Coturnix japonica: one gene and its partners. The protein of the gene in region 5 interacts with the protein of the main gene of each other region in a pairwise test. Links are inferred from orthologs where the notes say so. Each region holds a gene or a part of one and is shown on either strand. Other genes may lie near its edges. The genes, in order: ATG4A, TAX1BP1, RETREG3, OPRK1, GABARAPL1 and SCYL3.

Region 1 (4,205 bases), on a different chromosome or scaffold from region 5:
GCTTATTTTTGGAGGCCGCGTAGTGCAGGGGCGTGCAGCCATTCTGATTGACAGCATTGATGGGAGCCCCCTTGTCAATGAGGGCCTTGACGATCTCATCACGGCCCGCTGACGCAGCGATGTGCAAGGGAGTCCAACCAGCCTGTGGAGGCGAGCACAGAAGTTATTAAAGCAAAGACGTCAACCGAGAAAACAACCCCAGTGCAGAGCAGACTGCTCACAGAATCACAGAATGACCCGGGTTGGAAAGGACCTCAAGGATCATGTAGTTTCAACCCCCCTGCCTGGCAGGGCCACCAAACATACACCTTTACTAGATCAGGTTGCCCAGGGGCCCGTCCAACCTGGTCTTGAACACCTCCAAGGACGGGGCATCCACAACCTCCCTGGGCAGCCTGTTCCAGGACCTAAACACTCTCCTAGTGAAGAACTTTCCCTAACATCCAACCTAAATCTTCCCTCTTTTAACTTAAAACCATTTCCCTTAGTCCTGCTATTGTCAGCCCTTTCCAAGAGTTTACTCCCCTCCTGGGAGTAAGTTCCCTTCAGGTATTGAAAGGCTGCAATGAGGTCACCCCACTCCCTAATCATATTGCAGACAGCATTACAGCTGTAGTGCTTAACACTACTATCAGCACAGACAAGTCACAAGCGCAAACTTTAGGATAATTCATTCATAACGGATGCAATTATTTCAGCTTTCCCTGCAGGACAGAAGGGATCTGATGGCGAGTGTGAGATCAGCGCACACGGGGCCTACTCTGCCATTATACCTCAGGGGCGGGAAACCCTCAGCGCTCCTCACGGCTTGGCACAGGGTCACACAGGGCAGAGACGACCCGAAGACCCACAGCGGCAGCCCGGCCAGGCACCGAGTCCCGGGCAGTCGCTCTCCTCAGCCCCTACAGAACCATCCTTTCAACCTCGGGCCCGTTACTGAGGGAGAGCGGCCCCGAGAGCTCCCGCCGCCCCACTCACGTCGTCCTTGTCTCCGACGGGCACGCCGAGCCCCAGCAGTAGATCCGCCACCGCCGTGTGTCCCGCCGAACAGGCCCAGTGCAGCGCGGTGCGGCGATCCTGAGGGGAGACAGCGCCGGTCAGCGGGCCCCGGGCCGTTTGGTTGCCCTGACGGGCCCCGCTCCCGCCGCGGCGGGTTCGGCCTCCTGACCTGGTCTGTGGCGGTGGCCAGGGCCCGGTCGCGCAGCAGCTGAGCGCGCAGCTCGTCCAGGCGCCCGGCGTAGGCCATGTTGCACACCTCCACGTTGGACACGGAACCCTCCATCTCGGCCGCCAACACGGCCACTGCCCGCCCCGCGCCCCGGGACGCCGCCTCCAGCCGACCAATCGCGCCCGTGGGCCGACTGTGGGCCGACTGTGGGCCGCGGGGGGTGCCGGGATTTGTAGTCCGCCCGACTGGACTCGCCGCGCCGCCGCCCGGAGACGGAACTACGTCTCCCGGAGCGCCCCGCGCCGCCTCCCTGCCGGGCGTCCGCGTCGGGCCGAGGAGGAGGATGGTGACGGCGGGAGGATGGAGTCAGGTGAGCGGCGGGATGGGGCTGAGGGCAGCGGCGGGACGGGCGCCGGCAGCGCGGGACGGGCCCGGCCCGATCGGCCACGTAAAAACCCGCCGGACTCGGAGCCGGGGCCGCGCCTCAGCGATCGGGGCGGGACCGCGGGGCCGCAGCTCGGGGCCTAAGGGCCGGGACGGGGCACGGGCACCGGGAAGCGCCGGGCCGTGAGGGATCGGCGGATCCGGAGCTGCCGTTCGGCTCCGTGCGGGACGAGTGTGACGGGGCGGGATGTGACGGCTGCGCCGTGCCCATCTGACTCGGTGCCGGCGGTGTCACCCGTTCCTATATGAAGAGCAGCGCAGGGTGGGCTTTGCTTTGGCTTCATACATTGGCATTTGGTCAGGTTGCCATCTGTGAGATCACAACCGACGGGCATTGCCACTATTCCCACAAACCTCGCTTTAATTATCAAAGAAAGCAAAAACCGAAACAAAACAACCCCCTGCAGCGCTCGGGCTTCCTTCTCGGCTCGGTATTAATTACCGTTAGCAAATGACGTAGGCGGATCGTCCCCTCCCTCCGCCGGGCCGTGCCGCGGCAGCCATGTCGAGATACCGAGGGAGTGAGTGGGCGCTGCCGTGTTGCGTTCAGTTCTGTCCAGGTATGAAAACCAGATCACGATCCTGGCCGAATACTTAGAGGAATTCCCCGACACCGATGAGCCGGTGTGGATCCTGGGAAGGCAGCACCACCTGAACGAAGGTATCTGTAACGCGATAACTCGGCTCTAACACGCACTGAGTGCGGCAGCAGCGGCTCCCGATTCCCTCGTGTATCTGGCTGTCAAATAAAGGGAGATTTCAAAGTCACTGTCACAGTAAGAAGCAATAATCTGAGGTGTGTGCTGTGTTCTGGTGAGAAGCAGCATTGCCCGATAGCCTCAGCACTTCTGTGTGATACAAACATATCAGCACTGAGTTCTGCTCCCTGTGGAGGGCACAAGGGCATAACCCTGTGTTACCTGGCAGAGGTAGCGGCCATCAGTGCAGCCGTGGTGTCAGGACTCCCCAGGGTCCCGTACTCGGCCCCAATGGGCTGAGCCATCCCTTAAGGCCACTTAAACCCCCCTTAAGGCCACTGGATCTGAGTGGAACTCAGGGAGAAAGCAGCAGGTAAGAGCTTAATAAATCTGTGAGAGCCTGTGGGAGATGTCTGTAAGTGCGTGTTTTTAAAAGAAAAAAAGAGAAGAGAAAGAATTAATGGCAGTCGGTATTAATATTGTCAAGAAATGACAGCGTGTGGGGTTTGGGAGCGATGCATCCTTCTATGCTGTTCAGCACGTAGGAGTTCTGCACCTTAACTTGCTTTACCAGTTCTTTGCTGTGGATGTAATTCTCTCCATAGTGTTTCATTCAGGCTGGACAGAATCATTCCAAACGCCTCTTAGAACCATTGCCTAGTAATTATTTCATTCCTAACAATTCAGCTTTAATTATAAGTCTACAAAAGCTCTTAGGTTTCAATGGCTAAAAAAGGCATCTAAGCACTAAAGATCTGATATGTAGAAGCTAACAGGAGTCTTTTGCGGATGCTGTGTGTGGGTTGCATAGGAAAAACTGGAATTTTCCAGTTCGAAAAGTTTATTTGTTTCCTTTTGAAATCATTCCAGACAAATCTAAGCTATTGTTGGATGTCAGTGCTCGCCTCTGGTTTACCTACAGAAGGAAGTTCTCGCCTATTGGTGAGTATATTGCGGATCTGTGGCCTCGTTAAATAGCAGGAGCGGGGATGGCCTCATGGACTGAAAAGTGATTTTTATGTTATTAGAACGTTTAGAGCATTGTTAAAGTGGCTCACACATTCAACATATTAAAGTTATTAAAATCGATGTGCGCTTACAGCTGCACGTAATCAGGTGCTCGTGCTTGTACAGCAAGCTGTGTGTAGTTGTGAGTGTTGTCGAAGGGTAAGTCAGCTCCACAAGGAGTGCACAGACCTTGTTTGTGCTGCATAGAGATTAGACCAACAGCGTGGAAATAAGTCTGGCTCAGTGCAGTGCATCCATAGGCTGGTTAGTTTCCAGCAGACCTAACTGGGCTCTTACACTCTGGCGTTATCTCTGTGGTGCTGCCTCCAGTTCAAAGCTCATATTAATTGTGGTGAACTTTCCTCATAGGAGGCACTGGCCCCTCGTCTGATGCTGGCTGGGGATGTATGCTGCGATGTGGGCAGATGATGCTGGCGCAAGCGCTGATCTGCAGGCATTTAGGAAGAGGTGTGTACTGGTCTGAGTGAAATCTAAACTATTTGGAGACCACATTCCTTTGTGTGTGTGTGTGTAGTACTCTGGAAAAGCACAAAACCCTAATTTATTAATGAGACTTTATTTGAGGTAAAAGTTCCTAATGATTTATGCTTGTCTGACTGGGTGGAATCATAGCAGCCTTAAGCAGAGCAATAGAACAGACAGGGAATCCTGCTTCTCTCCAGAGCTGAGGATACCGCCCCTATTATTAGAGGCAGAAGCAGACATGGCAGAGCTGCTGCAGATTTGCTGTGTGAGAAGACTTTCCAGTGTGGCCCTTGTGTTGCTATTTGATGTATGTTAACAAATCTCACAAGGTCTAAATAGAGCATGTGGCTTTAAATAACCTGTCAGTGCTCAGCAGCAATCAGTCACAATAAATCTGCAGT
Region 2 (4,029 bases), on a different chromosome or scaffold from region 5:
AGAACATCTTAATTTCAGAACTCCCAGTACATTCCATAAAGTAACAACATAATGAGAGTCAGTGAAAACAAAACTACTCGTCTCATCACTGTTTATACTTCCCAGATACTGGCTGTGAAACTGAAGTTCTTTCAGAGTCAGAGCCCATAGCAGAACAGTGTCTTGTGACTCTTAGACAACCCTTTATCACATCATGTGGTGCAAAGAGCAGTGAGAAGAAGAAATGGAGGTTATAGATAAGACAGAATAGCTCTCCCCACCTCCTCAGAAATATGTATGGCTGGTTATTGCACCAATTTTGTTTACCACTGCACAAATTCCTTTGGTCTTAAGGAAAAAAAAGCCTTGTACACATACTTCTTGTGTCTTCTACCTGAAAGGAGGTTGTAGCAAGATGAGAATTGGCTTCTCCCAGGTTACTAGTGATGAGAGGTAGAGGCTTTAAGTTGTGCCAGGAGGTATTCAGGTCGGATGTTAAGAAAAATACTTTGTCAGAAAGAGTGAAGCAGGCTGCCCAGTGGTGTTGGTGGTGTTCAAGGGTAGCTGTTGTCCTGAGGGACATGGTGGGGATGGGCTGGTGGTTGAATTGATGATCTAAGTGCTTTTTCCCAACCTTAATGACTTCATGATTCTAAAACAATGTATTGCTTTCCAATGGAACATATGAATAACTTAAGGAATTACTAGTTATGTCCAGAAATAAAAAAGATTACTTAATAACCTGTTTTACAGGTTACACGTGAAGACGTGAAGTTGTTTTCAGACAACCATTCATGACTGAAGAGTTTCTGTGCTCCGGCTTAGTTTCATTAGGGGTGACTATTACAAAGCTGGCAATCTTGCCAGATACTCAAATCAATAATGTGGTCATTGTGCCTGTCTGTTGAGAATGGAAATAGTGATGAAACAGCGGCGGTAAAGAGGTAAAGGTGATTTCAAAGACTATTTGAGGTAGTGGTCGTGTTGGGTGTACTGGGAGAAGTCCGACACACCAATGGTGGTTACTCATCACTGAATTCTGTTCCTCATCTCTGCTGTTCTGTAAGAGCTACAGCTTGGCGCTGGACAGAGCTCCAGTAGAATCTGTGTATTTATGAGGTAACATACTTTGCCAATTCACGCAAGCAGGAGAACTGTGAGCTTTAATCTCACTCCTTGGTGGCTCAGAGACAGGCACAGGCCCGAAGCTTTAAATCCGCAGCTTGTGAGACGCAAACTGGTGTGACGCGAGCACAAACGAGCGGGCAGGGCCGGGGCTGGAAGTGACGCGGGCGGGCGGGGCTGCGTGGCGCTGATGGTGGAGGCCCCATGTTGATGTCCGCGGCGTCCTCCGCGCCTGCATAGGTAAGGGGCGCTGCGGGGTGCAGCTGAGGGGGGTGGGCGGGTTGGCAGCCCCTTCCCCGCCGGTCCTCGCCACCCGTTGGGGCGGGCAGGGATGTGAGGCGGCGGGCGGCGGCGCTGCGCCACCGGGAGGCCCCCCCCCGCCTGTACGGGGATCAGCTGGTCGGGGCGGCCTGTGTAGGCCTGGATCTGGGCTGCAAAGCAGAGCAGTCTGCAGAAGTCGCTTTTTTTTCTTTTAGCACATTCTTAGAATAAACTTCCTAATTTTTTGAGGAAATCTATTTTAAAAAAATTATATTCCAGTGTTTTTTTTTTTTTTTCTTACCAAGGTGATGAAAATTGACGTGGTTTGTTTCCTTTCAGTGTTGCTTAGCTTCATATAGTAAGGCTGTTCTGTTTCTTTTAGGTTAGCAGAAACTGCAGCTTTGTACTTGTTAATAATTCAGAGAGATGGACCCTTATGTTTTGCTTTTGAAGCATTTTGTGGTGCTGTAATTTTTAGCACGGTGTATTTGGAATGAGGTGGTGAAGGGAAATGGTGACGGGAAGCTTTTGCAATCCAACCGAATTAGTGCTAATCCATCCAACTGCATGCAGACTTGAATGTCTGCGCCATCAGTTCAGTTGTTATTAGTAAAAGTGCAAGACTAAGGGTATCTGTGTTTAAAGTGGGGACAGCAAATGTGCTTCCAGTCTGCTGACATCAGAAGAGAGGAGAAATAAAATAAGGAAAAAAAAAAGCCTGTTTAGATAAACTTTCTCCTTTGTTAAAATGTCTTAAAATGAAGCTTTCTTAGTTTTACTGAGTGGGGAACAACATTTTATTTATGGAAATACTGTCAAAAGCATTCAGAAGTACGGATTTCCCTGAAGCATCCAGAGTCACTAAAGACATTTAATTAAGTCATAGCTAACCCTAACCCTGCCTCATTTTCCCACCACTTTTATTTCCTTCTTTCTGGTACTCAGTTTATCTGTGTTATAGCAGTAGGGGCATTCAGTTAAGTGGTGCTTTCTCTCTGTTTTCATTTCATCACTGAGATGACTGCCTTTTTTTTTTGTTCTGAGAAGTGATTGTTTTGGAGCATTGCGTTTTGATGGGCTCGGTCTGTAGCTGGTCTGTTGTCAGACCAGAGGAGTGAATTGTTTCTCTGTCTGGTATCTTTTGAACAGGTTATTTTTAACTTAGTTCTTCATGATATTGAAGTAACAGCTTCTCCAATTTTGTTGCAGATCAAACATGTCATCCTTTCAAGAAGTCCCATCTTCAGCTAACGCTTTACAGACATCCAATTTTGCACACGTGATTTTTCAGAATGTGGCAAAAAGTTATCTGCCGAACACACACCTTGAATGTCACTACACTCTGACCCAGTTTATCCATCCTCATCAGAAAGACTGGGTTGGTATTTTCAAGGTAAGTAAAACTTAATCTATTCGTGTTTTTCACTTGTTCACTGTCTTCTCTTAACCAGTTTCTAATAGAGAAATCGAAAAATAATACTTTTATAAATGTTAGAGGAAGCATCACAGTGTGACGTCAGAGTCTGAGCTTTTAACGGAGATGAGGCTGGAGTGATAAGTACAAATGTGCTGGAGTAAAGGGAAGCCATGATGTGGTAGAGAATTAAATGGAGATGATTTGAGAGGAGGATTTTTAATAATATATTCAGTGACTACAGTCAGTGAATTGTGAGAGGGTGACATTAGCTACAAGCAGGGCGATTTCTCTGGTAGGAACTGGTTAAAAATACATCCATGTATTTTGATGACCTGATGTGTTTTGACAAACAGGAGTGTGACTGAGCGTGCTTGATGTTTAGTTAACAGGGCGAAGGAATGGAAGAAAAGTCAGAAGTTTAAAGAGAGTGCTGTTCAGGTTACACAAGCATTTTGGTATTATTTACGTGTATCCTGAGAAATGAATGTTGTGGTTCTGTGTGTATCAATCTAAGTAAGGGAGGCAATTAGGTTCCTAAAAATACAGATTAGATTTTTTTTGAGCACAGCAGAAAATACAAAATGTTTTTTTCAGTGACTGCATGTAACGCTATGTCCAATGTACAGATATGCTTCATTTCACTGTGTATGATGATAATTTCATAAGCTATTGAGGTATGAGGTTTTTATTCTACTTCGACAGTTGCAGGCAATACAGCTTTAGCAATTGTTTGGGAAACACTTTGAGCTGACGGAAGGTAACACGGCTGTAACATATCTTCCCTTTCTTTTACTTATTTCTTTTCTTCCTCCCCTTTATGTGAAATAGGCACTTGTGTGATGAACAAAGTCTGGGAATCGATTTCAGGTTCAGACCAGCATTTTGGGAGTAAATTATTTTTAGTGGGGAATTCCACAGCTGAATTTCTAGTCCATCTCATTCTCATCACTACGAAGGAAGGAAATGTTGCAAGATGGGGAAAAGGGTGAAAATTGTTTTCTGTTTGTTACTACGTGTTATGAATATACTGTCTTTATATAGTTATAGTGCAGTGAGGTAAATGAAGCCAGCTGTCCTACTACATCTGTGCTTATCAGTGTATATGTGTGTGAGTAATGCTTACAGTGAACAGTTTGTACCTTACTACATCTTCACAAAGACATTTTTTCCCGTGAACATTGTGGCATTGATAGTTCTAATGTGTACTACTGTTCTGTTCTAGGGATCAATGGCTTCGGCTGTATTCC
Region 3 (3,996 bases), on a different chromosome or scaffold from region 5:
GCTGAATGACTCAGAATTCTGCCAAGTGCATCCTGAGCCTGAGAAAGGCCACAGTAAAGCCTCGGTAACTGCTCTGTGTTCATGTATAGGAGCACCAGGGCCTGTTACCTGTGAGAAGCCGCTTGCCCAGTTGTTCCCAGCTCCACCTCCATGCTCAGACAGATAGATGTTCTCTGGGTTGTAGAGGTTGGCATAAGGGGAGTTCAGGATGGAGTGGATGACTCGGGGCTCCAGGTCCAGCAGCACAGCTCGCGGGATGTAGTGCTCATCATCTGCCTGCAAGGAGCAGCAGTCGGGTCAGGCTGCAGCACAGCTCCTCGCAAGGGCCACGTCCTGCACTGTGCCATGTCCTGCACTGTGCCACCTCCCGGCCACCACGAGCACGATGCAGAGCGAGGGAGGAGCGACCCTGGAGCACCCGAGTGCGGGGCTGCGGCAGCGCGGCCGGCCCCGGTACGAGCGGTGTGAAAGAACCGGGAGCGGCGGTACCTGGTAGAAGAACATGTAACCGGTACCTGGTAGAAGAACACGTAACCGGTACCTGGTAGAAGAACACGTAACCGGTACCTGGTAGAAGAACACGTAACCGGTACCTGGTANCTGGTAGAAGAACACGTAACCGGTACCTGGTAGAAGAACACGTAACCGGTACCTGGTAGAAGAACACGTAACCGGTACCTGGTAGAAGAACACGTCCTTGCGGTCGGTGCCCTCGGTGGCGAACTCCTCCACGATGCCCTCGGGGCTGATGCCGTGCTCGGCACAGAGCTGCTTCCAGAACTCGAACCCAACTGCGGGGACGGCGGTCAATGAGCCCCCCCAAAATCCGCTCAATGAGCCCCCCCCATCCGGTCAATGACCGCCCCCCCCCTCCGGTCCCCGCCCCGTCCCGCCCATCATCCCGGCCCCGCCCGGCTGTGTGTGCCGCTCACTCTGGTTGCCGCACTGGCCGAGCTGTAAGGTGATGATCTCCCGCGGCATCCCGTCCCGTCCCGTTGTCCCGTCCCGTTGTCCCGTCCCGTCCCGTTCCGTTCCGTTCCGTTCCGTTCAGTCCCGCTCCGTGCGCTCCGCCGCCGTCTCCCGCTCGGCGCCAACCGCTCTGCGCATGCGCGCGCCGCACTTCCGCTCCCGCTTCCGCCGTCCCGTCGCGGCGCCCTGGAAACGCGCGTGCGCGGTCGCGGCCGGCGGGGACGACGCTTCGGCCAAGATGGCGGCGCCCGGAGCCGTCCCGCTTCCGGCGCTGGGGGCCGCCATGTCGGCGGAGACCGGATGTTGATGCCGGCGAGGAGCCATGGCGGCGGCGCGGCCCGGCGAGCGGCAGCGGCGGGTGCGGGAGCTGAGCGCGGCGCTGCGGGGCCGCCTGGGGCCGTACGAGCGGCTGCTGAGCGCCGTGCAGGCCGCGCTGCTGTGGGAGCGGCCGGGCCGCAGCGCGCTGTGCTGGGCGGCGGCTCACGGGCTGTTCTGGTGAGCGCCGGGACGTGGCTGCGGGGCCGCCGGTGGCTGCGGGGCTGCGGGGGCTGCGGGGCCTGCGCTGGTTGCGCTGGTCGCGCTGCGCCGCCTCGGTCCCGGCCGGCTCCTGGGCCTCCCGCCCGTCGGTTCGTGCCGGGCCGTCGCTGCGCTGCTCGGGGCGGTGCCGGCAGCTCCGGCCGTTACGGGCTGCGCGCGGGGCGCTCGGCCGCCTCTCGGGTCGGGGAGTGCGACCTCCCGGCGCGGAGCTTTGAGCGCCGGTCCCGCAGCTCCCGTGGCCGGGACGGCTCGTGGGTTGGGGTACGGGCCGGTAACATCCGGTTGTGCGGCAGCTCACGGCGGGAGCCTGGAAGCGCCGCAGCTGCCCGAGCTTCATCCCTCTGAGTGTATTGAGCACCTGGTCCTACAGCACAACATTGATCAGCGAAACCAGAACTGGGCGGTGGGACCAGGGCACAGGGTGACCTGCAGGCCGCGAATTCCAGCCCTGCTGCAAATGAGGAGTGTGCACAGCGCCGGGAGATAAGCTCCTCTCCAGGGCCGTGGGCAGCTGATAAGCAGCCGCTGCTTTTCTCTATCTGTAGCTGTTGGCACGTTTTGCAGCGGGTTCGTGATGTCCCCTTCGCATGTCACAGATCCTGCTGGTCACGTATTTGTTCGTTTCTTTGCCATAGGTTCTTTGCTCTGACTTCTCTTCGATTGGTGTGCCTGGTTGCATTTACTCTTATAGTAGTAGTTTGTCTAGATCAGTGGAAGAGCAAAATTTGGCCTGAAATTGGAGGTAAGTTGCAACGTTTAAGTTATTATCAGAAAATGAAGCATTATCTTCAGATCAGGAGGTGCAGAGTGTGCAGCATTTGGTGCTCAGCAGAATCCAAGACTAGAAGCACGCACAAGATCCTGACCCATACAAATAATAGGAGTTTCTCACACTTGTGGTGCTGGCGTTTGCCTCATAATGTTCTGAGTTCTCCCTTGTGTTTTATTTGGTAGAAACTTGCAGTCTCTTAATGCATAATGAGGAAGTCTCCTTGACTGTAGTGTTTGTTTGTAGAACGTCATAGGAGGCAACAAGGAGGCTCTCTTGCAATCTTGTACTGTAACATGTACATGTTTAAAACGTGTTATAGAGCGAGTCGTATGTTCTGTAACAGTTAATGTCTTTTTTCAGGTGTCTCCCAGCTAATTAAAACTTTACTTGAATCCCCAAAGCTGAGCTTTCTTATAGCAAATTCCTTGCAACTAACATAGTGTCTGTTCTTAATATTTTAGTGGCAAGACCTGACGAATTAGACAATGAGAGGTAGGAAACTAATTGAATTCTCTGCTATTTGGTACTTTGCCATGATACTGTGTAATAATTGTCTGCACGTGCTTGTAACGTTGGCTTCTTTAAGAGGGGAATGAAAGGAGAGAAGGAAACTGCTTAGTGGAGGGAGAATGGAGCCCTGAACTTTGTCATTCTGCTGTGACAGGTTTTTTACTTGCACAAACCATTACTCTTTGCCTTTACATTGGCATACAGTAATGCTTGCTTGAGCACTGTAAAATCTCTGCTGCTCTATTCCCTTCCACCCCTAAGTTAGAGGTGCTGTCTTAAAAACAGTTCCTTTTGTATGGGTCTCCAGTAGCAGGAAAACAACTTTTTGTACCAATAAATGCATCTTCTGAGCCCAGGTGTGGAATGTCTAAAGAGTCACGTCCCAGGGATTGTTAGTGCATAGTTATGGTCTGACTGCAGTATTAATAGTGGGTGTTCTCTTACTAATAACACCTTCCTATCTCTGGGCACACCCTTCTGCCTGCTTATGCTGCTGAGCCACACTGGATGCTCAACACCTGCTTAAATCACTTGAGCTGTTGCCACATGACTTCCTTGTTGGGTGGTTGTTGTTTGTATTTGTAAGAAGCCCAAATACAAAAGGAATTGCTATTCCTAAGTTTCATGTACTTGTGACTAGCAGTTAAGAAACACCAGTAGAACTTAATGAAGATAGTGCCTCTGAAGTAATCAGACACATTTAAGTAAGGCACAAGGCTTACTTAAAACCTTGTTTCTGAATTTTTACCTTTCCTGCAGCTGGGGATATGTCCACCCTCGGCTGCTTGGAGTGCCAGAACTGTGTCACCATTTGGCTGAAGGATGGGTGTCTTGGACCAACTTCTTAAGTAATCTCTTTGTTTTCAAGAGGGAAAGCCCTGGCAAGGTGAGAACTGGTAAACTTTAGTAAATTACTGACTGCTGGCATCCCTTTGTGATGGTTGAATGCTAGGAAGGCTTTGCTTTGTTAAGAGTTAGAACTTTACCTAGAAATCTTCAGAGAGCAAGATGATAAAGAAGTGAGTGATTCCATCACTTAACTTTGGAAACTCACTGTCTCCCATGTGTTCAGTTTTGCCTTCTAGTATGTGGAGTCTTTACATTCCTGGCTGTTCTGGGCCGGTATATCCCTGGACTCCTGCTCTCATACTTGCTCTGTAAGTAGAAGAACCCTGTGCCAAATCTTAAAATGAAGAGGGGTAGAGATA
Region 4 (4,170 bases), on a different chromosome or scaffold from region 5:
AGTTTTCCACCTTTAAAATGTATTTGGCTCAGGGGATTTACTGTCACGTGTTTATTGCCTTGTACTTCTGATGTCTTCACAGAATCACATAATCACAGAATGACCTGGGTTGGAAGGGACCTCAAGGATCATGAAGGTCCAAGCCCCCTGCCTGGCAGGGCCACCAAACTTAGCCGTGCAAACTTTGCCATGTTTACTAGATCAGGTTGCCCAGGGCTTCGTCCAACCTGGCCTTGAACACCTCCAAGGACGGGGCATCCACAATATCCCTGTGCAGCCTGTTCCAGGACCTCACCACTCTCCTAGTAAAGAACTTCCCCCTAACATCCAACCTAAAACTTCCAGACAGCTCCATGCAGATGGCAGTGAGCAGATGCTGCCATTCTCAAGGAACCAGTGAGCACGGTCATGGTCATCACCATGCTTGCATGAGCCTTGACCTCTGAGAAAGGGGATTCTATATCTTTTAAAACACCTTTTTGACTTTCAGCTCTATGGCTGAAATTATTTTTCATCTTGATTATAGGTTTAGAAAGAAAAAATGTTTTTAAAAATAGAAACCTCAGCCTATGGGCTTTACCCAGTGTAAAGTTTCAAAAGGATGAAAGAAATTCACAACTCCTTTCCTGACCATCTGAGCTTCCTAGAACATCCAGAGGGGCATGACACACTGCAGCTGCCTGCAGAGACCTGCTGTCCTGTCTAAGGAACAGCCTGCCTGGCCCATTCCTGGGCTCCTTCCAAGGGAGAGTCCACTTACTCAAAGACCTGGCTCACTTTTCCAATTTGCCATTTAGAAGGAACTCTGGTTGGGATTTGGGATTTCAAGCACAGATTAGTGTGTTTCCAGCTCCATAGGATAGAGTGTTTAAGGGATTAGGGCTGAGGAATTTGATTTCTGCATACTCCTCCTCTCCATCCCTGACCACAGCAAGGGTCTGGGGTAATCAGACCCCAGCAGCACATCAGGATGTACTTGGCTTCTCATAGTGTGGGACAGCTTGAATTAACAAAATACAGCAATTAGGCTGCTCCTGGATGTTTCTGCCTCTCTGTGCTGTGGGATCCAGCTTCTGGCATTCCCCCACATTATAGGCATAAAGGAAGAATGGCACAGCCACCCAGTGAGAAGCATTTGGGATCCACAGTTGTGAAGCTGAGGCAGGAAGCCTGTCAGGTCAGGCAAGAAATATAAACTGGGAAATTCTGTTTTATTCAGCATCTATCAGCCTGTAAATGCACGTAGAATTCAGGAAGGTAAAGGGGTTTGTTGCTCAAGGCCTGGGAGTGTGAGGGCAATAGGAAAAGTTGGTTTGGAGAAGTGTACAAAGCCAAGGAGCCACTCACATCAGAACTTATTTCTTTTATTTTGTCTGCCTCTGAGCGCTGAGGCAGAAGTCATGTGAGCTGCTGAGCTGCAGGGACAGAGGCAGAGGAGAACGCATGCATCAGAGCAGCGTGCTGCTGGAGCCCTGATGGGGAGAGGGAAGCAGAGAGAGCCTGTGAGGGAAAAGGCAAAGTGGTAGGAGCTGGAACAGCAGCAGCTGCTGCTACTGTGCCGTAGCTCATGCCCAGGAGTCAGCTCTGCCGTTAGCATGCATCTCTGAGGGCTCAGATGCTTCGGGTTCAAAAGTCCTAGAAGATCTGTGGTACTCCCAGGAGCCAAGTGAATGCTTTTTTTTTCCTGCAAAGATCTGTCTGAGGACTCTGCTCCTTCTCCTGGACTGAGAGGTATTTTGTGTGATTAATTTGTCTCTTGTTTAGAAGCAGGCATGGGATCTGGAAAAAGATAAGGCAGGGTTTATGCCAAAGCAGGTATACAGAGAGGTGGTAGATTTCTCTCCTCCTTGTTTACAGAGGAATTTAGGGAGCAAGGAGCCCCTGTCACTAGGATGCTGTTTGACTTAAAAGATGGAGGATGGGAGAGAGAGGGTTAAAGCGTGGGGGTGGATCTGAGCTGCTTCCCATCTGATTTGTTTCTCTGTGTAATTTCTGAAAGTGGAGGAAAACTTTCCTTGTGCAGTGGTGGAGAAGCACATTACATACTGAGATGTAAAACTTACATTTACTTTGAATGTGGTTTATTTAAATCCCTGCTTGGTAAACTACAGTTCTTGCCACAGCAGTGTTCCCCATAACAGGTACTAATTTTACAGCTCTTAATATTCAGTCGCTGTGATAGCAATTCCGTCTCATTCCCTCTCTTTCCCTTTTCCAGCATCCTTCCTCCTGCAGCCTGCACTCTCCTTCCAGTCTCTCTTCTGTCTGTGGGGTCCGTGGCCTCTATGGATGCCCCTGTACAGATTTTCCGTGATGAGCTGGACTCCACCTGTGTGCCAGGGCCCTGTCAGCCATCCAGCACCAGCAGCAGCTGGACCCTGGGCTGGGTGGACTATGATAGCAATGCCACCGGGAACTTTGAGGACACCCAGCACAACCACACCAGCATCTCCCCCTCCATTCCCATCATCATCACCGCTGTCTACTCCGTGGTCTTCGTTGTTGGCTTGGTGGGAAACTCTCTGGTGATGTTTGTCATCATAAGGTAAGAGGCTTTGCTTGAAAGAGATGCAAATGGCTGTCCTGACATTTGACAGCTCAGGGGGAGTTTATGGAAGCTGTCTGGATCTGTATATATCAGGAGTTGAACAAAACAAAAAGAGTACCCAGAATGACCCCAGATATTTTCAGGCACAGAATCTGCCTGGATGTGCAGTTGCAGAGAGAAGAGAGAAGCCGGATAAAGGTGATGAATCCTGCAGCCTGTGAGAAAGGTGGTTGGTGCCCCTGAGCTGCGTTGATCGGGTGCCCTCTAGGGATGAAAGGCTGCTCTTGACTGAGAGAAAATGGGAGAAAGAAACTTCTGCAGGGTACCTTCTTTTTGTGATTTTGTTTTCTCTCTGCTTGTGAGAGCCATGGCTTATGTGTCCAGCTCTGTGAACACAGATATTTTGCTGCCTCGTTGCCTAGAAGTTCTCTTAATGAGGTAGGAAAAAAAGAAACAGTAAGAATCACATCTGTTTAATGTAAGCCAAGGGATGTTGTTTCTCTGCTTAGTGGTGTTTAACTCCAGTTGTTGGCATCGCCTTGAAGAAAACAAAGCAGAGACAGGGAGGGGTCTACTTTTCCTATTGTTTCAGGAAACAGGAGAAAACTGTATATCTATGTCAAATAGTTTTTCATGTTGAAATACATAGTGAAATGCACCGATATGGGTGTGTTGTTATATATTTGTGCCTGCACTATTCTCTCTCTCTCTTTTTCCTCTTTCAATTTGTAATTTGTAATAATTCCTGGACAGTGGCACTCAGCAGGGTTATAATGACCAAAGAAATTGAAATCATGAAACTTTTCAGTCTCTTCCTTCATATTCTATATGAATCTTGCAAAATATTCTGGATTTTGATTTGTTTTTTTTGTGTGTTGCTTTTTTTGGTGGGTGAATGGAATATTTGGTCAATAAATGAAATCACCTTGAACACAGGAAGAAAAATGGGGGGATTGCAAGTGATCTTGTTTACAAAGTAAGCATGATAAATGTCAAACAATTGCAGAATGATGAAATAACTCTGTCAGGCTTGGTATGGGAGGAGTTAACTGGAACCAGTGAAGTTATTGATGATGGGCTTTATAAAAGATGTCTTAAAACTGGGTGAATATGTTTGAAAAATGAAAGTGAAATCTCGTTTAAAAGTCAGTTCAATAAATAAAGATTCCCATGGTCACTGCAGGGTAACCGGTTTGCTCCATCTTTGTGATGCTGTAGTTTTTATATCTCATCGAGCTATTTTACCCTTCATTCAGAGTAAAGATTTAATTTATTTTTGCACTTAGCTTTCAAGAAGAGAGACTTCATACTTAACACAGATGTTAAGTATGCAGAATTTTTCTAAGCCATCGATCATTTAACAGTACAGTGCTGACTTGCCAGTCTGGACAACGGAAGAAAATTCAAACTTATCCAGAACCCTGAAAGTCAACATGGATGGATTATATTGATTCATATATATTTCCCTTTTTATCTTCTTCTATTACCCTCCCAAGATTATTTTTGTGAGGGTCTAGCTAGCTTTGACTCCCTCTCCACCAGATCCTACTTTAGTCTTAAATACATTGTAATTACATTACAAATTTAATTGTATTCAATATAGAACATTTAAAGATTCTGAA
Region 5 (4,161 bases):
CATATCTGCTTCTAAGTGAATATACTTCCTCCATATCTCTCCTTCATGCATGATGAGAGATCACAGTCACCACGGCTTGGAGAGAGCATTACCTCTGAATTCAAGAAGCAGTGGGCTATAGAGTGTAAAGGTGGGTGGTGGGCAATATATGATAAACAGCTCTCTCCAGGGCAGAGAGCACAAACTAGCACCCTAAATCTGCTGTGGGGATTTGCAGTAGGTCCTTCCCAGTGTTGGGATAACTCCTTCCCTTCAGGCAAGACTTATGTGTATAAGCATATAGGGATAAAGAAACCATTAATGTCTGAAGTACGAATTTCTTGGAGCAGTCTAAAAGATGTGTATGAGTATTTCTAGAAAAGGACCAGGGCTTCTTCCTGATCCTGTTCTCCTGATATTATTTTTATTACTTACTATTTTGTCACGATGCCCTTACAGAGCATTGCAATGGAGCATCCATCTTTCGTCTTCCACCATAAGTGCTTCCAAGATTACATGATTCCCCATCCATTATATTTCCACAGATAGTACATACTCATCAATTATACTTGAGACAACTAACTTACACACACTTAACACAGGTAGAGATGGATGAGATTTCCAGTCTTCTATTCCATGGTCTCTTCTACTGTCTAGTGTCCTTTTAGCATCATGGCAGTCCAATTGACAGTCTTTTACTTCATCCAGTGGTCTTCCTCACTTGTCCTCTAGATGAACTTTCTTCACTGATGCATGCTCGATAACGCATATTGTAAGTAATTTATAGGTACTAAAATTGTAACATTTGCTCACTCAGCACTTGGCCATTATTTCTGGACATCTGCTCATCCTTGGATAGAGATAAGTTTGGCAACCTGTCTTTTAGTGATATATACCGGGGTGTTAACTTCTTTTTAATAATATATACTGGGTTGTAGAAGGATAGAGGGGAAATCCTTGACACCTAGAGAAGGAGACAATTTGGCCTCATGTGGAGGTCTCAGCTTTCATTATTGCGTTTCTTTTGCTGAGGGTCTCTTGTCAAAACAGAACAGCTTTACAACACGTTTTCCAGTCCGTAATACTACACGCACACTATATCAATCACAACCACGTACAGAAGAGACTCATTGGACGGGGACACCTCTGACGGTGGTGCGTGGGTAACCCCTGAGTCACGCACATTATTTTGGTGGCTGTGTTTTTGTGGATTTTTTGATCTTTCTTTTAGAATTGTTACCATTAGGTAACCCGAAAAGCACAGTAACCGAATGTAAACACAAAGACCCAGCACATCCCCCCCCCACACACACACACACGAGACAGTGCCCCCACCCCGCTGCAATGCCGACAGTGCCGGAAGGGGAGGGTATGTCGCTGTGACGTCCCGCAACAGCACAGTGCGGGGCTGCGCTGCGCTGCGCTGGGTTTGCGTGCGCTGCGCGGGCGTAGTAGGGTTTGCTGAGTGCCCGGTCATAGGTGACGGAGGGACGGTAGTGGCCGGCTCGGTTGTGTCGCATCATGAAGTTCCAGTACAAGGAAGACCACCCGTTCGAGTACAGGAAAAAAGAAGGGGAGAAAATCAGGAAGAAATACCCCGACAGAGTCCCTGTGAGTGTGCTGGACGAGCGCTGCCCTCGGGCTGGCTGTGCAAATGTCGCCATTCTTTGCTGTCCTTGTCGTTGCCGTCTGCTGCTTTGCTTCTTTTGCAAGGAACGGGATTGGGAAAGATGACTTTGGCGTGTCGGTATTAATTCCGGATTGCTTTCTCTTTAGTGCCACCGTATTTGTTGTTCTACGCCAAGGTCCGTGGGTGGGTGTGGGGGTCTTTTTCGGGCATCCGCAGTAATTCGACAGCAAGAACGCTGTTAATCTTATTATGGCAGCCTATGCGTGTGGGGCTGGAGGGTGGGGAAGGAGCTTACGACTTGCTCTGGGAAAATGGAGGAGAACAATGAATGTGTGAAACAGGCGTTCTCTGTAAGGAAAAAAAAAAAGGCCTAAATCGCTGTTATCAGATGTTTTGTTTTTATTTTATACCTTTTTCTTTTTGGAGCTTGCTTTTCAGTGTAGTCCAGCTCCGTTCTTTTCAGCTTTGTGTTTTGCATGAGAGTTAAAAAGAGATGGATGCTCAATAATAATTCCCAGTCTTACTTCCCTACTCTTTAATCACCCAAAAAGCATCATTTGGAAAACAAGATCATTTTCGAGCTGAACTTTCCTTTCTTGTCCTTAGGACTGTCTGGAATCTCAGTGGAAAACTCCTGGCTTTATAATTTGTGGCAATAATTGCAAAAAGAAATAGTAACACTAGGGTTTATTTTGTTTGTTTTGTAACACTGGAGAGTTCTGTCCTAGATTGGGGTGACCAGAGGTGCAGTGTGCAAAAGAACTGTTTCACCTGAGCTTTTCCCTGTAGGATGAGAGTAATTGAGCATGCAGTGTATGCAGGTCTGTCTTTTGAGATGACGGCCACAGCAGGCTCAGCTGGTCAGGAGAGTGGCAGGTAATGCAGCAGGTCATGATAGAAGTGACTGGAAGAACTATGTGGAGAGCCCAGCAACAGACCTGGTCTGGCAAGGAGTAAAAATGCCAAGACAGAGGGGCTTTAGTAGAGTGTAATGGACAAAAACAGGATCAAACTAAGTGAGCTGTGCTGCAGCTAAGGGGAAGTGAAAACACTGCTTGGAGAGGCCTGGTGTGGATTGCTGGGGAAGGCTTGTTGTCAGAGCTGCACAGAGTGCAACAGACGTATTTAATCACTTCTGTCACTGCCCTTCACGACAGTAGGATCCTTGACAGCAATGTCCCATTGGCTGCTGGCACTTCACTGTTGTGATATGTCTGCATTTTGCTGAAATTATAATGCTGGCCCAGTCCATTGTTACCACAGTCACCCAGCAGCAACAGACATCAAGATAATATATCTGCCCTTTGGATTGTCTTTGTAAGTTTGTCTCTCTGTGCAAAGTAACCTTTAGAAGAGATACCTTGCCTGGGTTATCAGGGAAACTTACTACAGTTGATTATCTAGGAAAACACCTCCATTTTTCCCTCTTTGCAAGAGGGAGATCTGTCTCAAACTTGATTATTTAATTTGAATCCTTTCTAGGGGTTTAGAATCCTCAGAGCTCACCTTGTCCTCATAAATCAAGGTACCCCCTATCTTCTTTTCCTTTATCTAATGACTAAGCTACATGCCATCCTTTTGAGTCAGCTTGGTCCTGTCACTGTTGCTACCTGACAGTTCTGCTTACCAATCTTCTAAATTGAAAGCAAAAACTAAAGGCTTTTTTTCTACTTCAGTTTATTTGATGCTACCATGTAGCGTTTCAGGGTAAGAAAATAGGCAAAGTACTGTTGCTGGTCAGTCTGAAGCTGTGTAGTGAGGTTGTGCAACTACCTTTCCTTCACAACACTTGTCAATTTTATCTTGTATGGAAATGTATGTCCTAACACAAACTTAGTGTGAAAGAGCTCAGTTGCCTAGTAGTTGAGGTTCTTGAACTAGCAAACTACGTTTGTGTTTTAGGAAGAAACCTAGAATTTTCAGGGCTTTTGGCTGCATTGGAGGCATCTAAATGGAGAAGAGTATACAGGTATCCAAGCCAGCATCTCTACTGTGTGACATGCTTTGTGGATACTTGAATCTGGAACGAGGAGTGTTTGGTTGGAAAAAGTGCCATGCCAAGTTAATACACAAAGCTTATCATGTCTTTTTCCTTTGGTGTACTGTTTCATTGATGTGACAACACCATTTTCCTTCCAAAGAAGGAAGGAAACACGAAGCACAACAGTCCAGCCTTTACTATTGCACAGCTGACACAGCTGCTGATTTTGGCTTCCCAGGGAGGTGGTTGAATCGCCATCCCTGGATGTGTTTAAGAGCCGTTTGGATGTGGTACTCAGGGATATGATTTAGCAGAGGGTTGTTAGAGTTAGGGTACTATGGTTAGGCTGCGGTTGGATGTGATGATCTTCAGGGTCTTTTCCAACCTGAGCAATTCTATGATTCTTAGAAATTAGTCTCACAGTGTCTCAGGGAAGGTCAAAATGGTTTCTGAAGAACAGTAAGCCACATAGATTGAATCATGTAATATATCTCTCTACTTGATCAAAAATACATACCAGGAAAAAAAACAAACCTACCAGTGGCTGCATTTTCTTTCCACATGCACACAG
Region 6 (3,500 bases), on a different chromosome or scaffold from region 5:
GTACTTAGATCCAAGTAGCTGTTTAATATTTCCTCTGTCCTTCATGTTTTTAAAAGCAGTAAATTTCATCCTCTTCCCCCCAATTTCTGTTTGTAGATTGGAAAAGAAATACAGACTTCCCCATTTTCTCAGCTCTCTGGAGGCTTTTCACCTAATCCAAACGAATGAAGTAGTCCCTACACCTGCTAATAACTTGGAACCAAGTGTACCAAGGGCAAACTTTTCTGCATGTAGAACTAAGAATAACCTGTAGCTGGAGGGAAGAATCAGCATTTTGCTCTATTTTAGATTTAATAGGTACCAAGAGAAATGCATGATAGACATCAATTTGTTTTCATTGTAACTGTTCTTGTCCTGCCTGGGTGTACTGATAACTACCACTCATTAAAATCTGTGGATGGCTCATTGCAGCGTTTGTTTTTATGTGATTGTAGTAGACTGTAGTAAATAAAAACCTTCATCTTGCGTGCTAAGAACAGATGTATTTTTCAGAATATATTTGAAATCATTTAAATGTTGATGGGGGTTGGGACAGGAGCTGAGAACCAACCCTTTGTCCTTAACAGCGAGTGGAAATGTACAGTAAGGAGTAGTTGATGCTGAATAGATGATGCTTAATGAGATGTTTGTCTAAGGATGTACCCTCCATGGAGGGCTCTCCAGGGAGAGTCCTTGTTATAGTTGCAGTCCTTAACAGTGCTGTGAGCTGTGCAGGCAGTGCCTTGCCTGGCATCACACACAGTCAGGTGGAGGCAGCGGTGGCCCAAGCCCTTCTATTCCATGTTGAAGGGGTGGCAGCAGGGGCTTACACAGCTGAATCCAGTGCTAGTGTATCAGTGACACTATGCTCCCACCAATGAACTGGAACCAGCCTTTAACTGCCTACCACCACACCTCTCATTTTTGGGTGCACCATACAAGTGAGGCTGTCATAACGCAGCCTTTGAGATAGAGCCTCTTGTTCCTGCTTGACTCATGCCCAAGCACACAGGGCAGTTTGTGCAGTGGCATGATGCTTTGAATTGAGACTGTCACTGCTGCGCTTTTATACGAGGCAGAGCAGCAGATTGGTGCTGCCATGCATCTGGCTGCATCCAGTTGAAGCATCTATTTCAGATCATGCTGTTTACTTTGTGTATCTTGAAAGAACAGAGCAGCAAGAACTGACCCATTTACAGTTACTTTGCACTGGCAAGAGCTGCAGGAAGAGTAGTATTGATACGTACAAATCAAGAGGTGCAGTTTCTGCACTGCAGTGCCAGTCTTTGCTATTGCTCATCTCTGCAGTAAATAAATCTCCAATGCCATGGGCAGCTTCAGCCAACACACTTACTGGCCTCTCTTCCATCCCTGCAGACTCCCCCACTCGTGCTGTAAGCAACCAGAGACACCAGACCTCTCAGCCTTGGAAGAACAACTCCAGTGTGCTCCCTATCTCTGGAAATGCAGTTGTCAAGAAGCATTCTGTGCAACGAGACAATCCGCTGGCTCTAAGGACAGGTAAAGCATTGATACCTCTCTTCCTGGTCTTGCCTTTCTGAACTGGATATATAACACCCTTATCCTCCACAGGTGAGCAAGCCACCCAGCTGCCCCTGAATGGAGTTCCTAGGAGCATTAATGTGCTTGGGAGCAGCAGGAGCTCTTTAACTACCTCTGAAAAGCCAGCAGAGGAGTGGCCAGACTGGAGCGAGCCAGAGGAGACAGACACTGAGAAAACTGTGAACATCCAAATTCAGCCCCAGAAGCCACAGGGCAGCATGGGACCTTATTTTGTTGAACACGATGTAGATGAGAAGCCTTGGGATGACTTGGAGCCCAGCAGCCCTAATGCTGAGCTGACCTCAGGAAACTGCCTCACTGTGACACGAGCTGATGCAGCTCAAGTGCAGAGAACTCTACCAGGTACCCAGCAACAGAGCAAGGAATTGGAAAGCCTCAAAGTGATTCCCTCAACAAAGTCCTCCCCTGAGAACAGCTGGAACAACGACAAACGGGACCAAGGACAACTAGGAAAAACCGTGCTGCCCAAACAGACCTTAGAGGAAAGATTGAAGTCTTCATTGGAGTCTGGCCTAGGAGAAGAATTCACCATTAAAGTGAAGAGGAAACCAGCTCAAGACCCTGAGCTGGACTTGTTTGCTGACATGATACCAGACATTAAACCTTCTTCAGCGCTCCTGATTATACCTGAAGCAAGGACAGAAGCAGTTGTTCCCAGTCACTCAGTTGTTCCCAGTCACTCTGGTGCAGTGTCCAGCAGAGAAGGTGCCTCCCAGAACATGATGTTTTCATCCAAATTTGCAGCAGTTGATGTTATTGAGGTAAGTGTCTATAGACAGCGGGGTTTAAATAAATGCACATTTGAGAGGATTCTAAGGCACACACATTGTACAATACAGTGTTGTGGCACTGCTGTGATATCTACCTAATTTTATGGGATCCACTTACAGTAGTGCAGACAATGCTCTGGGAGTAGCTGAGAGTGAGATCAAAGTCAGAGTGCTACAATACAGAAGGACAACAGTTGCTTCCTAGGAGGCAAGGGAAAGAAGTCTATCTTATAGCATCCTGTTCTTCATAAAAAGGGGTTTTGATAGAAACAAAGCTTGATTTAAATTTATGAGGAAAGCAAAAGTGTATTTAAAGTGTTTCCTTTTACGGTTAGAAGTCCTCAAAGATGAAAAGCTGCAAATTCCAGTGCTTTGGTTTTGGTTTTGTAAGGGGCTTTCTGTATATAAAGCCTCAAAGGGGTAAGGAGGAGGGTGCCATCACAAGTTGGCCTGGGTACTGTTGTGCTCCTATAGCTGCATTAAGAACAGAAGCACAGCGTGTGTGCCTTAACGTTGTTCATTTTACATGATTCTAGGCTGAAGCTGCAGGCTGGGGTGAAGAAGAAGAGTTGAACTGGGAAGATGATGCTAACTGGTAACGGGACTGAAAGAGACAACGGCGATTTATGCTGTGTTGGAATCTGTAAGAGAAGTTGCTGCTCCTACAATATAACGGATAAGTACCTCAGCACTGCTTTTGTGAAGGCAGGCACTTGCTGCAGCAGCCAGCAACACCCCAGGGGGCCCCATCCCTTCCAATGGATGCTCCTTTCCAGTCTGTGCCAAAACATGCAGCGGGTGAGGCCTGCACTCCAGCAATAGGCCAGTTGTGGAGTGTGCCACTGCTACTGGAGAGAGAACAGCAGGATGGGGGCGTTGGTGCTGACACGCTGATGGAGGCTGAGCGGTGGTGCAAGCAAAACTCATCTCTGCTCTGAAAAACTGCTGACAATAAATAAGAATTACTCTGAGTTACCTGGTTATTGGGCTTGTTATTTTTGTTGCTTTTTGTTTTTTTAACCTGGAAAGAAAGCCCTTAGAAATGGATCCTTGTAACGTTTTAGCTGTACGATGATTTTCAAATGGATCTGTACAACATATTTATTTCTGTTTATAAAACTCTTTCCACGGATTGCATAACACGTGCTAGGAAATGCACGGTGACTG

What was found.
Region 1: the proteins of GABARAPL1 (region 5) and ATG4A interact in binary tests that used the Homo sapiens proteins (3 or more experiments, as listed by UniProt). The two-hybrid records come from large-scale screens. The link is inferred for Coturnix japonica from reciprocal best matches to the Homo sapiens genes GABARAPL1 and ATG4A.
Region 2: the proteins of GABARAPL1 (region 5) and TAX1BP1 interact in binary tests that used the Homo sapiens proteins (3 or more experiments, as listed by UniProt). The link is inferred for Coturnix japonica from reciprocal best matches to the Homo sapiens genes GABARAPL1 and TAX1BP1.
Region 3: the proteins of GABARAPL1 (region 5) and RETREG3 interact in binary tests that used the Homo sapiens proteins (3 or more experiments, as listed by UniProt). The link is inferred for Coturnix japonica from reciprocal best matches to the Homo sapiens genes GABARAPL1 and RETREG3.
Region 4: the proteins of GABARAPL1 (region 5) and OPRK1 interact in binary tests that used the Homo sapiens proteins (3 or more experiments, as listed by UniProt). The link is inferred for Coturnix japonica from reciprocal best matches to the Homo sapiens genes GABARAPL1 and OPRK1.
Region 6: the proteins of GABARAPL1 (region 5) and SCYL3 interact in binary tests that used the Homo sapiens proteins (3 or more experiments, as listed by UniProt). The two-hybrid records come from large-scale screens. The link is inferred for Coturnix japonica from reciprocal best matches to the Homo sapiens genes GABARAPL1 and SCYL3.

The regions. Positions count from the first base shown.
Region 1 is NC_029519.1:13,238,702-13,242,906, reverse strand, and holds the start of ATG4A (cysteine protease ATG4A), read left to right. Parts: upstream 1-1,405; 5' UTR 1,406-1,528; coding exon 1,529-1,538; intron 1,539-2,162; coding exon 2,163-2,273; intron 2,274-3,180; coding exon 3,181-3,252; intron 3,253-3,687; coding exon 3,688-3,786; intron 3,787-4,205. UniProt on the Homo sapiens protein: Cysteine protease that plays a key role in autophagy by mediating both proteolytic activation and delipidation of ATG8 family proteins.
Region 2 is NC_029517.1:30,157,699-30,161,727, forward strand, and holds the start of TAX1BP1 (tax1-binding protein 1), read left to right. Parts: upstream 1-1,229; 5' UTR 1,230-1,344; intron 1,345-2,574; 5' UTR 2,575-2,581; coding exon 2,582-2,758; intron 2,759-4,029.
Region 3 is NC_029542.1:4,589,001-4,592,996, reverse strand, and holds the start of RETREG3 (reticulophagy regulator 3), read left to right. Parts: upstream 1-1,196; 5' UTR 1,197-1,291; coding exon 1,292-1,464; intron 1,465-2,141; coding exon 2,142-2,248; intron 2,249-2,739; coding exon 2,740-2,770; intron 2,771-3,547; coding exon 3,548-3,674; intron 3,675-3,860; coding exon 3,861-3,945; intron 3,946-3,996. Other genes in the region: TUBG1 (tubulin gamma-1 chain), read right to left, coding at 109-276, 679-791, 933-981. UniProt on the Homo sapiens protein: Endoplasmic reticulum (ER)-anchored autophagy regulator which exists in an inactive state under basal conditions but is activated following cellular stress.
Region 4 is NC_029517.1:99,618,599-99,622,768, reverse strand, and holds the start of OPRK1 (kappa-type opioid receptor), read left to right. Parts: upstream 1-1,370; 5' UTR 1,371-1,731; intron 1,732-2,218; 5' UTR 2,219-2,285; coding exon 2,286-2,545; intron 2,546-4,170. UniProt on the Homo sapiens protein: G-protein coupled opioid receptor that functions as a receptor for endogenous alpha-neoendorphins and dynorphins, but has low affinity for beta-endorphins.
Region 5 is NC_029516.1:70,390,293-70,394,453, reverse strand, and holds the start of GABARAPL1 (gamma-aminobutyric acid receptor-associated protein-like 1), read left to right. Parts: upstream 1-1,361; 5' UTR 1,362-1,500; coding exon 1,501-1,590; intron 1,591-4,161. UniProt on the Homo sapiens protein: Ubiquitin-like modifier that increases cell-surface expression of kappa-type opioid receptor through facilitating anterograde intracellular trafficking of the receptor. Involved in formation of autophagosomal vacuoles.
Region 6 is NC_029523.1:6,556,586-6,560,085, reverse strand, and holds part of SCYL3 (protein-associating with the carboxyl-terminal domain of ezrin), read left to right. Parts: intron 1-1,356; coding exon 1,357-1,500; intron 1,501-1,572; coding exon 1,573-2,324; intron 2,325-2,869; coding exon 2,870-2,932; 3' UTR 2,933-3,500. UniProt on the Homo sapiens protein: May play a role in regulating cell adhesion/migration complexes in migrating cells.